Linked DNA regions of Ovis aries. The protein of the gene in region 2 interacts with the protein of the main gene of each other region in a biochemical or structural test. Links are inferred from orthologs where the notes say so. Each region holds a gene or a part of one and is shown on either strand. Other genes may lie near its edges.

Region 1 (7,251 bases), on a different chromosome or scaffold from region 2:
AAATGTTGAAAGAAACAAAATATTAGAAAGAAAGAAAATCTTAGAAAGAAAGAAAGAAAGAAAGAAACAAAATCTTTAATGCCCTGTTATATCTAAATCATATGAAAATATGATTTCAGGTTATTTGTTACCTGCATATAAAAGTGTATCTTGTACTGAGAGGTTTTTTTTTTTTTTTTTTCCAAATCCATGATTCATATGAAAATCACTTCTTCCCTAAGCTGTATAAAGGGAAAGATCTATACCCCCATTAATTTTGCCTCTGGGTATTCCTAGTCTTTTCAACCAAATAAATATTAAAAGCATCCCTAAGACACTGTCATCTTTCATTAAATGATACTTTTTACAGAAGTACTCCCTAGTTTCAGCAGATTATATGCTACTGCCCATTAGTATTGAATCCCTTCAGAAAATATTACATAATATATACATATATATACACACACATACACATACCTATATACACACACATGTGTACATATATATATTCTAAAATACTAGTTGAAATTATTTATTTGGACTGCCATATACTTTATTCCTATTTAAATAGCTTTGAACAATTTCAATGGCAAACAGTTTCAACTAGAAAGCATCTCAGACGTTAAACTTTTGATACAGATGTATTTATGACAAGCAAATGATTGAAAAATTTTTAGAATCACCGTGTTTTAGGTATTTAATTTTAGTAAGCATTAGTTTTTAGCAAAACACTTGTAAAACCCACCCCTACATTATTCTATGCCAAAAAATCTAACTTTGGTCTTGGTGTTCTGTAATATTAGATCAAATTTGCTCTGTTATGTAACCACACTGTTTACTTTTGCTTTCCTTTCCCCAAATAATTTAATCACTACCATTAGAAAAAAATATATATTATGTTCCAATTTGGAATTAATGCTATCTCTTCCTAGCTATTACACATACCAGAACTCTTAAGAGCTCAAAGTATTTCAGGCTCACATAATTGTCTATGTTAAGTGTGAGATTTTTAAGATCAGATGGCTGTAAAAACCTAATTTGGGAATCCAGTATAAATCGATTTAGTACATTGAACTTAAAGGAGATGAATTGATGTTATATCTATGGTGTCATTAGGCAAGTTCAAATTAGCTTTCAGATCTAACATATTCTGCATTTTATTTATTACTCATCTGGTTCATTTTGCAAATACAATTAAGAGAAGTTACTATATTCTAGCTTTATTTTCAGTTAGCACCAAGTCTAATATGCAAATATTATAAATACCATAACCATTTTCATATTTCTGGACTAGAACTATCTGACAATTTGACCAGACAGAATAACTAATATTCTTCATTATGAAATGAAGTTCAAAACTACTCTGCAACAATTCTCTATTGTGTGGTATTTTATAAAATTAGTATTTTAGATTTCCCCTGTAGAGTAGCAACCTTTAGTTCTGATAAAAATACATTAAAGCCTAATTACCATATTTGCTCTGAAACATTAAGATGATTTACTAAGATATCCTTTTAAAGGGAGAAAAGATGAAAGTTGTATGAAACTGTTATACTAGAACATTTTATGGGATGACAGGGCAATAATTTCCTACAATATATTATTTAAAGTCTTACTTCTATCCACTCACTATTTATTGGAATTAGTTCTGACTTCCGGTATATAAAGGCGTAATTTTTTTTTTTTTGTAAGCATGTGAAAAACTCAAGACTCATGTGCATTTCTTTTACATGTCACTGCTATAATTAACATTTGTTAAGAGTTTCAAACATCAATGTCACAAACCAAGCCCAAATTTGCAACTTTCCTAAGACACAGTGAGAAATAACCAAGTAAAATCTTAATTTGCTCACATGGAAAGCAGTCGGTTTCCTTTCTCTCTTCATGTCTAAACTTGTTAATTCAGATGTACACATGTGAGGCAATTAGACGATTGTCCCTTTGTCCTTGTAACCGAAAGGTGGCACCTCTAAAAATTAGAGTTAGCTTTCAACAGAGGTACTACATTAAAAAGGAAAAAAAAAAAAAAAAAACCAAACAGGCATTTAAATGTCAAAGCCTTAGAAAGAAGATCTTGTTTCTGTGACCTGAGGTTAATTCTACTGAAATAGGAAAGATAAGTGTCTCGAATGGAAAATAGTTTAGAAAATAAAACCTATTACATTGATGGTAAATAAATGCAGCTCTTCTCTAGATCAGTGTATAAACTTGTCCACTTAAGATATATAGTGAAAATAATACTTTTTGGGATACATAGATTAGTGTGGAAGGTCAAGCAGAGTTGAAAAAGAAGGCTCCTTTTTCTTATCCCAAGTGGACACATTTAAAAAAAAAAGTAAGACTTGGCATTTCCTTTGATAAATCAAAGGGGAAGATTTATCTGGACACCGACATGTGATTTCTCTGCACTCATGTAGGATCCACTTGGAATGCTTTCCCATTGCATTGAACTAAGCACTTCTTTCTACCTCCTCCCATCTGACAGCCATCACTTATCTGTCTCAGATGAATAACAAGAAAGGAAAGCTTATACCATTGACGATGGAATTAGAAATTTCTGAGGCTGCCTTCAAGGTTCTGTCCACCAAGTCCTGTTCACTTAACCTATCATTCAGGCAGCCAGGGCAGAGTTGTTTTGACATCTTTCTCTGTATTATAATAAGAGATGAGAACAAACACATTTTTCCCATTAAGATTTTTGAAATTTGAGGCTATCTTCCTACCATTACTTTCTAAACTTTGTTCCAGTACAAGAGAATTCTTGGCCAACTGAGCCTCCATGTGCCTTCTAAATGGAGTACTAAAATTGTATAAGCATCACGTTTACATCTGTTAAATATACTTATTGAAAGAAAAGAAGGCAAAGCATGAATTCAATATCTGGGAAACAATGCAAACAGCAGAAAGAGAGAAGGAAATCATAATTCATACACAAATGCAGCTTTAACACAAAAGTTAAATGTTTGCTTTATTTTAAAGGGTTAATCTTCAAGAAAGTCAAAATCAACACATACACAAAGCTAACTAGATTAGCTTTCTCAAAGTAGAAAACCAAGCCTCCTGATAGGACTAGTGTCACTTAAAAATGTTTTGAAACTTTATACATATACATACATATATCTATATCCATCTATCTATCTATCTATATTGCTCCTCACCATAAAGGCCATACCAAAGAATCTCAGGAAATTAATGTTTTTAATTTTTTTTCTCTATTGGAAAAGCTTCTCCAAGTTCAGACATTACCACTGATGGACAATACCAAATAGCCCTACAGGACAGATGGAAACAGGAAGAGTCAAATGGTGGGCACTTAAAAGCAACAGCAATTAAGCAGTTGCAAGTGGGTTGAAACGGTGGTTTATTTTTGTTCCATTTGAAGGAATCAAGTGAGAGACACAGCCTCTTGCAAGGAGGAGATCAAGTCAAACTTGACGCTTCCCCTCTTTGCACATCTTGTCTACTTCCTTTATTCAGTTTAATTGCTTTCCCTATTCTAATTTTCGCAGAGGTTGTATTCTATCTTGTTCCTTCTCTCCTGCCCTGGGCAGGAAAGAAAAAAAAAATCTTTCTCCTTTCATCACTACCTTCCTCTTTCCTCTGAGAAAAGGCAATCCTCTCCAGGAGGAGAAAAAAGCCCTGTGCGTGCTTCGGATGGGAGGAGGGAGAAGAAGAGAGATTGAGAAAGGAGTTGGAGGGGGGTGGGTGGTGAGGGATAGAAATTGAGGGTGGGGGGCGGAGGAGAGGGGAGGAGAGAAGGAAAGGAGAAGATGGGGGATGCCCAACATCAACTCCAGGCTCTGAATCACAGGCGCCGTGCTAAGTGCTTCTCCGGGAGATGCACATGTGGTCTCATTACACTGCTCACAATAGGCCACCCGGGGCTCCCTTCCCAGGTCTCAGTCTCCCCCCACCAAAACCCAAGTGTGCCGAGAAGAAACCCTTCTGGACGGATTCAAGCAAATAGGCACCACCGAGGTGGCCGTGCCGCCACTCCCGCTGCCTTACCTGGAGCGGGGAGCAGGAGGTGGTGCCTGCTCGCTGGTCCCTACCGCTTCCCGGGGCTGACCGGTGCACACGACTCCTTTCGCTGCCTCTGCTCTTGGAGGGGCAGCCTGCAACACAAAAGGGGGGTGTGGGTGTGGGTGTGTGGGAGGTTTTCCAGGGCCACCAGCTGGTCCCAGCTGGCCGCCCTCACCCTACACACACCCCTCCGGGGCACCAAGCCCCGCTCTCCGGGGAGCACCACCCTGGGGGCTTGCCCCGGTGCAGTCTCAAGTTGCCGCTGCCAAGTGCTGCCGCCGCCGCTGCAGGAGGAGGAGGTGGAAAGACACTGGGGGCAGCACTCGGTCTAGAGCATCCCCACACTGCAGCTTCTCCAGGAATCCCTCCAGTGAGGAGGCGGCCGCCCGTCATCTCCCAGCCCCAGCCGCCTGATTGGCTCCACCGCCGGTACGCTGAGCCCGGGAGCCAATCCGGGCGCACTAATAATAGGTGGATCCGCGCAGCCAACAGCGCCCATCCCAGTTCTGTTAGTGTCTCTCCATCCCCACAGCGGACAGGGACTTGAGGAGGGGGTTGAGGAGCGTTGGGGGAGGGGGGTAAGTCTGAGGGGGTCAGATCCCAAGGAGACGTAATCAAGGGCATCCGATAAACCCTCTGGGTAGTTACAGGAATGCCCCGCAACCTGTTCAGCAAGCCATAAGCACAGGGGAGGGAGACAGCATAATAAAAAGCTTTTTTTTTTTTTTCCCCTCTCTCTTTTCTTTCTTTTTTTTTTTTTACTTTCAATCAAAACCTGCCCTGATACTGAGCATGCCCAGACTGCAACAGCGCCCTAGGAGTTCCGATGTGTGTGGGTTTGCAGGCTGTGGGTGTCTTAAAATGTGGGCGCTGGGAAGAAGAGACAGAAGTTTGTCTTTGGCTATTTGACCCGGAGGAGTTGTGAAAGCAAAGCAGGGCGGGGATAAGAAAGGAGTCCGCCGGAGAGTGCTCACCCTGAACCATAGGAAGGTGGCCCTCTGGGCCACTGGAGGCTGTTAATACCATTGTGTGGGTTCAAGGGTGGAAGCGGGGTAAGAATAATCGGAGCGTTTCTAGACGCCTGGAGACTTTTCTTGAATCAAGGGTGCGGTGCTTGGGAGATGCCGGGATGCGGGCATGGGAAGCTCCTTCCCCTAGGTGGGGCCGGGAAGCGACTCCACCCTGTCGCGGGGGCTGCCAGGCAGGGGAGAGCGCTCTGGGAGTTTCCACTGCGGCGACCAGTAAGTTTGTAGACTTAGGTCAGGTGCGACAACGTTGGGGATGCAGTTTCTGCCAGCTCCGTTCCCCATCTCTCCACCCCTTGCCAGCGACGACTGAAGCGTGGGTACTCCCCCTCCTTTCTCTCTTTCCCCTGAACGATTCTGCTCGGAAGTAAGAAGCTTTTCCCCTGTGACAGCAGTGCTGACCTGATTGCCTCTAAGCTCTAGGGCAATTTATAGCTTGGTAATACGGAGAAGCCAAACTGGGAGATTCAGCGATAGGGGGCAGGGACAGCAAGCAAGGCAAGGGGCGGAGCGGAACCTGGCTCCGGTAGGACCAGGTCCAGTCTCTGCTCCACAGGTGCAAGGCTTCTGAAACGCTGAGAAGTATCTCTCTCTCTCACCCACTGACCTTGTTTACTGGCCTTTAAACCCCTGACTTGTTTTGCTTAGAAATGCTTCCAGTTTGTGTAAACTTTGTCAATGGCTCCAATTGAGAACTCTCCTAATTGGGTTCTTTATTTTACTGAGAAGATTATCATGGCGTCTCAGTTAAGGAAATAAATAGCTATCTCAATTCCCCAAACCCATCCACTTTGAACTGGAGTTTCATTAACACTGGTTTGCAAAGGTAACTGTATCAAGAATTCAATTAACAGTAACACATTTCTTCAAGTTTTTAATTAAATCTCTGCAATTTATGTAATGTTTAGGATCCTTATTCTAAGTTTAGGGGAAAAGAAGACAACTTGATACAAATTAGTCGTTTTAATAACAAATGCTTGTGTATCCCCCCAAATTGTAACTAAACGTAAATATTTATTTCGTATTTTAAAAAATCCTCAAATCTTAAGAGTAATTTCATAGCTAGAGAAAGATAATAGATGTTAGTTTAAAATCAACTCAAGTATTTGATTAAGCAGAAAAAGAATGAGGAGGCTGAAGGTGGAAGAGAAGGAGAAAAAGAATGAATTACCAGTCTAACACTGCTTTCCAATAAATGTCCTCATGCAAAAGGATCATATTGAAGTGAAGTGAAGTCGCTCAGTCGTTTCCAACTCTTTGTGACCCCATGGACTGTAGCCTACCAGGCTCCTCCCATACATGGGATTCTCCAGGCAAGAATGCTAGAGTGGGTTGCCATTGCCTTCTCCAGGGGATCTTCCTGACCCAGGCATTGAACCCAGGTCTCCCGCATTGTGCGAAGATACTTTACCCTCTGAGGCACCTGGGAAATCCTAATAAAGATCTCTATTTTAAAAAATACTCTTGGCACACTCTCTAGATTCCAGTAATTAAAATGTTTTTAAAAGTTGTGTCCAATAGCTGCATGTGGAAACGAGTAAATTTGTTTTAGAATGAATTAGTAAGTAGAATATGATTCCATACTAGTTATCTGTTACAGACTCTGATTCTATCATTAATATCTTAGCCAATGTCTCTTCCTGTCTACTTCACATCCTATCCAATAATCAACTCTCTTTCAGTGGTCGGAATCCTAGACAACATGAATGGTGTTAGACGTTTGCATCCTAACGTTCCGTGCAGAAGGAACTAACCTTCCTGGTTAGCTGGCTAACATAAAAAATGGATTTTACAGGTACAGTATGATTCACTTTAGAATAAATAGTGTTTCTGATCATGAATATTAGGAAGACTCCACTTCCATACTGGATATTAATATACTGTAATTTTTACAGGACTAAGATTTTTATCCTTTCCTTTATTCTTATGTTTTCCCAGACTCTGGGAAGGAGCTAAAGACCTCCACCTGGGTTCACATACCATGCTATTCTGTTGCACAGGGTATATATCATCTTTGACTTTATAGCAGACTCACCTCCATTAAAAGAAAGATCAGGTCAATTGTCTTTTGTCTCTAACCAGTTTCTCGGGTACTTTTAAAATCTAGAATGCCTATGTCTTATGCTACTAAGATTGAATTCATTCCCTGGTCATACAGTATTTAAATATATACATATGTATATTTGCTATTTTAAAACTGCGTTGATTTTGTTCAATGTTTTCC
Region 2 (7,070 bases):
CTCTTTAATGCCACCTTGTTACCCTGTTAAGGACTTTAGTCAATCAGTTCCTGTTTACTGAATACCTATTACCTCCCACTGGCTGACAGCCATGTAAACTAGAATGCTGTCATGAAGATATAACACAGGTGAGGGGATCCTACCTTTGCCTGGGAGAGCTAATGATGGCCTTATGGAGGAAGAGCTGTTTTAGTTGTCTTGAGCGCCAAGTAGCCAGGGAAGAAATCCCACACAAGAAGCAGAACCAAGCAAAGCATTTTGCTAGAGGAGCCAGGGATGAGAGATGGATACACAAAGAGTTCCTGCCAAAGGAAGGTTTCACAGTGAATGTGATGGAATCCAGATTCTTTTTTAAAAAATATTTATTTATAAACTCTTAGTTGCAGCATGTAGGATCTAGTTCCTGACCAGGGGTTGAACTCAAGCCCCCTGCCTTGGGAGCCAGGAGTCTTAGCCACTGGACCACCACGGAGGTCCCAGGAAATCAGAATCTTCCACGTATCCTTCCAGGGGGCTGAGTTTAGTGTGATGAGACTAAGGTTGATCAGTTTAAGAAATCATCTGGGGTTAGCCTAGTTCTTTGGCTGAAGGAGCCTCTTTTCTTCGGAGTGACTGCATGATCAATCCAAATGGAATTTCTGCTTTACCAAAGCCACACCCATGGTGCTTGGGAGGGATGCTGGTGAAAGAGACTTCCTCATACAGCCTGTTGTACCCTCATTTTTTATCAGGTAAGGCTTCACTATACCAATACATCTTTTCAGTATGAAGTTAATTGATTGCTTATCCATTAATGTAAACTGGAGAAAACTGAGCTCATTTTCTCCAAGGGTCTTGAGCTCTTCAAGGTAAGTGTGTTTCAGCTCACTTCCTGATGGCTCAGATGGTAAAGAAACTGCCTGCAATGCAGGAGATCCGGGTTTGATCCCTGGAACAGGAAGATCCCCTGGAGAAAGAAATGGCAACCCACTCCAGTATTCTTACCTGGAGAATCCCATGGACAGAGGAGCCTGGCGGGCTGCAGTTCATGGGGTAACAAAGTATCAGACACCACACTTTGGAAGTAATACTTAATCCTTAGGGCAAAAATCAGGCTCTCAGAATGGGTCAAGCTGGCTTTCACCAGAGTCTTTTAACTTTTCTATTAAACTAAATTTCTCTCCCAAGGGTTCTGTCAACACAGGAGAAAAGAACTAGGGGGAAATACCTGTAGGAAAATGGTTATATACTTGCTGTCAAGAAGACATTACTGCAACCAAAGTCAAAGGTAAAATAGAAACTGTGCTATTTGTTTATACTCATTGTCTAGCTGGGTGTTTGGGGATGGGGTGGGGTCCTTTGATGAGTGGTAGAACAAAGTTCTGGGAGCACCCTGATTTACAGTGGTTGTTTTATTCTTTGGAAAGATTTGTTGCAGGTGTGAGAGAATGTTGGGAGGACTGAGACTGTAAAATGGGAGGAGAGATGAAGATGCGGGCAGGTTTAACCCCTGACAGTTGCTCTCCGTTCTGACCTGTGCCTCTCCATCGCAGTGCAGGGCGACTGTCTTCCAGATGAAAATCTCTCGCACTCAGAACTGATGTCTCTTGTCCACAAGGAACCTGTGTGCATACTTATGACAGCTGTTATATGCATTTCTGAATTAATATATGCAAAGTACTTGGAAACCTGACTGGCGAATACTATGCATCATGGAAACGTTAGGGTTGTTGTTTTTATTAATCAGACTCATCTCCGTAGCTAGGTAAAGATTCCTTGTTGAGGAAGGCCTCGCTGTCCTTCTTGTCCTTAGTAATCTCTTAACGTGATTAGGACCCTGGACAAGTCGCTTACCCTTTGCAAGCTCCACAAAGATTGTGTGTCAAGTACGATCTGAGTCTAGAAACACAATTTGGTGCCCACTATTTATGAGCTACTGCCCTGCGTCCTATGCCTATATATATATATATATATATATATATATATATATCAGTTCAGTCGCTCAGTCGTGTCCAACTCTTAGCGACCCCATGGACTGCAGCACGCCAGGTATCCCTGTCCATCTCCAACTTCCGAAGTTTACTCAAACTCATGTCCATCACTGCGGTGATGCCATCCAACCATTTCCTCCTCTGTCATCCCCTTCTCCTCCCGCCTTCAATCTTTCCCAGCATCAGGGTCTTTTCCAATGAGTCAGGTGGCCCATAGGATTAATAGCTATAATTCTATAACTTATATATATGTATATATATATATATATATAGAGAGAGAGAGAGAGAGAGAGAGAGAGAGAGTATGCCTATATATATAGTCAAACCAACCTAGACAGCATATTAAAAAGCAGAGACATTACTTTGCCAACAAAGGTCCATCTAATCGAGGCTATGGTTTTTCCAGTGGTCATGTATGGTTGTGAGAGTTGGACTGTGAAGAAAGCTGAGCGCCGAAGAATTGATGCTTTTGAACTGTGGTGTTGGAGAAGACTCTTGGGAGTTCCTTGGACTGCAAGGAGATCCAACCAGTCCATCCTAAAGGAAATCAGTCCTGAATATTCATTGCAAGGACTGATGCTGAGGCTGAAACTCATTGGAAAAGACCCTGATGCTGGGAAAGATTGAAGGTAGGAGGAGAAGGGGACGACAGAGGATGAGATGGTTGGATGGCATCACCGACTCAATGGACATGAGTTTGAGTAAACTCTGGGAGTTGGCGATGGACAGGGAAGCCCGGCGTGCTACAGTCCAAGGGGTCACAGAGTCAGACACGACTGAGCGACTGAACTGAACTGAGAGTAAAAGCGTTAAATGAATGAGGAGTCAAAACCTCATATAAGAGTGAGACGGGGAACAGCAGTCTGCACCGTGCAGCCTCGACACGGGCTGTGGGACAGCCTCCTGGGCGGTCCCCAGACCCTGCACCCCCGGGCCGCACGCCTGAGCTGCACTGACCGCGCGGCAGGGCCCGGGTTGCAGCGTCTGGCTGTGAGCTCCGAGCTCCGGGTGCAGAAAGGACACCGCGGGGCTGCGGCGCGGGGGGTCGGGGTAGGGGCGGGTCCGCGCCGCGTCGGACCCGCCCACCGCCCGGCAGACCAATCAGCGCGCGGCTCTGGCTCGCTCCTCGGCCAATCCGTAGCGGCGGGAGCGGCGCCCAGCGCCGCTGGGCGCAGAGCGAGCTCGGACTGGGGAGCCTGAGGCCGGGCCGCCCCGGAGCGAGCGCGGCAGGGAGGAGCGCGCGGCGGGACGAGGGCACCCCGGGGCCGGCGCCACTCCCGCTGAGCCGCGGCCACCTTCCGGCGGACCCTCAGGACTCTGCGCGCCGCGCCGCAGGTAGCTGCTCCCCGAGCTGGGAGGCCGATCGCGCTCCGGGCTCCCGCGGGTGGAGCGGGCGGGGGGGCGGGCCGGCCGCGAGGTCGTAGCGCTGCGGGAGCTGCCCGAGCCCCTGTGGAGCCCCCCGAAGCTGCCTCGGCTGGAATGCCCCGGGGAGACGCGCTTCCCCCAGCCGCGGGCGTCCAGCGGTGAGAGCGAGCGAGGGGAGTCCGCTAAGGTGGGCAGGGGTGCAGAGTCGGGGGACAAGACGTGACCCCTGGACACCCTGCCTCGCACACAGGCGCTGTCTGCCCGTGCGTGTCCGCCCCGAGATCTGGGTCCCCGGGACGTCTTCTTGGGGCCCTAGTGAGGGAGGCGACAACAGGTGTCCTTGCGGACTGTGCTTTTCTCCACCGTCCACCCCTCACCCCAACCCTCCCCAAAACTGCTTTGGCGTTCTGCGCCCCACTTTCGGGGTATCCGGATACAGGGACCCCAGCCTGGCCTCTCAGGCACGATGCCCGCTGGACAGCGCCCAGAGGCGGCCTGGACCCGGCCTTTGGATGGAGTTTCCTCCTCTCGTTGCCAAGCGATTTGCCTGACACCCGCCCCTCTCGCTGAGATGAAGAGAGTTGATGTGGTTTGTGTGTGTGTGTTGCAGCCTGTACTAAAAGGAGCTGCCCCAGGGCTGTGAGTGAATCATTAACTGGTTTCTGTACAGCTAGTGGCCTCCGTCTCTTTCTCCGAGGCAGGTCCTTCGTGGTCTCCTGCGCTTCACTCTTCTAGACTGTAAAGTCAAAACACTGCCTTTACCTGCCCGATGGCGTGGCTTTGCGGAGTAAATGAGCCAAGCTGGAAAACACTGAGGCCAGCGCTGAAGTGTTCCATAAAGGCTGGCTTAGTGTTCATTATACGGAGCGGATGGCCTTTTTAAAGAGTAAATCAGACTTGTCCAAACTGGCCCAGTGACTCTTTGGAGTTCTGAACAGCTTTTTACACTTGAAGGGGAAAAATAATCTTACTGATGGTATCATTTAAAGGTACTATATCCTTTGAGGGATTAAAAAAAAGAAAAACAAGTCTGCTTCATTGGAATGGTGAGAGATAAATAGATTCCAACTAGTAACTGAGAAAACTTTGTAACCCTTGAAAAAAATGTGTATGAATGTTATATCATGGTACTGTGTTGCCTCATTACTATGGCTGATTTAAGGGGGAAACTTTGAGCATTGTTATACTCCCTACTCCTCCCTTAAAACAAGTGAATTTTAAAAGAGAGAGAAGAGAATAGCAAACAAAAGCCCAACCACACAACAAAATGCCAACAGCTCACAGAAGCCTAAAATTACAGTTCCCACTTGAGGTTTTTTTTTTTTTTCAGTTTCTGACCTCGGTGGTCTGCTTCGGTTCTTTGCCACTGTGTCACTTTCCTTGTTTTCTTTGAAGAGTCAAATGTTTCACTCCTTGAATTTGTCTTTTTAAAAGCTAAAATATCAATGTATATCAGACTCGCTTGGGTTTCTGAGCCCTCTGCTACTTGTTTCCTACCCCCCGACAAACCCCAGCGGACCTTCCCAGAGATTCTCTAGGGCAGGGGTCCCCAGCCTCTAGAATCTAAAGCCTGATGATCTGAGGAGCTGATGAAATAATAATAGAAACAAAGCGTGTAGTAAATGCGCTTGAATCATCCCAAAACCCCACCCCTAACTTTGGTCTGTGGAGTAATTGTCTTCCATGAAACCCGTCACTGGTGCCAAAAAGGTTGGGGAGGGCAGCTCTAGAGTAATGTTAGTGGGAACCTGCCTGTCTTTCTCAGAACATTACCCCCACAACCTGAGAGCTGGGGAGAGGACGCAGGTAAAGTGCCCCAGTGCTCCTAGGGTCTCCGGCACATTTACCAGGAGCTTTAGAATAAATACATCCACCCAGAGAACGTGACTCTCATCTGAGAGGGTAAGGAGCCGACTTCCAGAAGTAAATCTTACAATGTTAGTGAAATCGCTCAGTCATGTCTGACTCCTTGCGACCCCATGGACTGTAGCCCACCAGGCTCCTCCGTCCATGGGATTTTCCAGGCAAGAATACTGGAGTGGGTTGCCATTTCCTTCTCCAGGGGCTCTTCCTGACTCAGGAATCGAACCTGGGTCTCCTGCATTGTAGGCAGACGCTTTACTGTCTGAGCCACCAGGGAAGTCAGATGTTTCCAATGTCAGATTAATTCACCAGCCCTTTCAGTTGTTGGTGAGAAGACCGTCCCTCTACACCTGAGTGGGGGGATTTGAAAGCTGTGCTGGAGGAGACACAGAGAGGCACGTGGGGCAGGGGGCAGTTTGCCGAGTTCAGAGCCACACCCGCCCCTGACAGCTGGGAAACTTGGAGAAGTTGCTTGAAGTTTTCTGAGCCAAAGTCTCTCTCACATTACAAAATGAGGGCTCAAAAAAAACCTTTTTTTTTTTTTTTTTTTTTAAGAGGAATCGTTCTAAGGATGGTGCTAATGAATAGAAACCCCTAGTGCCATTCCAGGGATGTGGTTATAGATCGGTAGCAGACAGAGGAGGTTCACAAGGTAAGAATGATGAACTGTACCTGGGAAAGAATTTTTAAAAAGAGAGAGACTTTGTTGAGGGGATACACCTGAGCTGAGTGTAGGCTAACAGGCAATTCTCTTGTGCAGACAGAATTGAGCTGGGATTGGGAGTAAGAGTAGGGCAGAGGGGAGGATTCCAGAAAGAGAGAGTACAGGATATCAGAAGTGCTATAATAGTCATCTTAGGAAAAATGAGCAAATACCTTCTCCCACCCGCTCCGTCCCAATCTCAGTGGCTTGCTACCACCACCCATGTTATTTCTCACCCATGTTGCATGTCCAAGGCAGGTCATTCATGGTTCTGCTCCTCATGTGTCTCCATTTTGGGGCCCATTAAGGCTTAAGAATCCTGGAGAAGAGAAAGGCTACCCTCTCCAGTATTCTGGCCTGGAGAATTCCGTGGACTGTACAGTCCATGGGGTCGCAAAGAGTCGGACAAGACTGGGTGACTTTCACTTTAAAGGCTGAAGAAACAGCCTCTCTCTGGTACATACTAATCTTGTTTATGGGAGAAGGGAAAAAGAACGTGAGTGAGCAAAACAACTATGGCCCTGAGAGGTCTGCTGAGAAGGAGTGGGCTTCACTTTAGCTCTCACGCTGTTGGCCAAGGTAAGCCACATGGCCAAAGCTCATGCTGGTGGTGTGGGCACATGGAACCTCTTGCAAAGGAGGCAGAGATGATTAGGAGGGAAAGCGTAGGAGACAAGGCCAGGGAGGCGTCCCAGAGGCAGATGATACAGGGCTATGTGCCAGGAGCCTGGGACTTTACCCTATAGGCAGGGAGCTGCCATTGGAGGCTTTTTTTCAGTTGACCTATATAGTAGTAGTAGTGTTAGGCGCTCAGTCCTGTCCAACTCTTTGTGACCCCATGGACTGTAGCCTGCCAGGCTCCTCTGTCCATGGAATTCTCCAGACAAGAATACTGGAGTGGGTTGCCATTCCCTTCTCCAGGGCATCTTCCTGACCCCAGGGATCAAACCCTGATCTCCCGCATTACAAGCAGATTCTTTACCATCTGAGCCACCAGGGAAGCCCAGTTGACATATGGTTGATTTAGAAGGTTGTGTTACTCGAGAGGGTTTTAAGGTGGTTTGAGATGATCACATTTTCAGGGTGAGTGCATCTCTAGTAGCAATGTGGGGAGATTGAAGCAGTTGAGATCTCAGATCTCTCCCTCTCACTGTCTGTCACATGACTTG

Evidence for each region.
Region 1: the proteins of STON2 (region 2) and SYT1 form a complex in vitro, tested with the Homo sapiens proteins (2 studies listed by BioGRID). The link is inferred for Ovis aries from reciprocal best matches to the Homo sapiens genes STON2 and SYT1.

Annotation. Positions count from the first base shown.
Region 1 is NC_056056.1:114,925,633-114,932,883, reverse strand, and holds the start of SYT1 (synaptotagmin-1), read right to left. Parts: upstream 4,372-7,251; 5' UTR 3,988-4,371; intron 1-3,987. UniProt on the Homo sapiens protein: Calcium sensor that participates in triggering neurotransmitter release at the synapse. May have a regulatory role in the membrane interactions during trafficking of synaptic vesicles at the active zone of the synapse.
Region 2 is NC_056060.1:90,899,933-90,907,002, reverse strand, and holds the start of STON2 (stonin-2), read left to right. Parts: upstream 1-3,141; 5' UTR 3,142-3,305; intron 3,306-7,070. UniProt on the Homo sapiens protein: Adapter protein involved in endocytic machinery. Involved in the synaptic vesicle recycling. May facilitate clathrin-coated vesicle uncoating.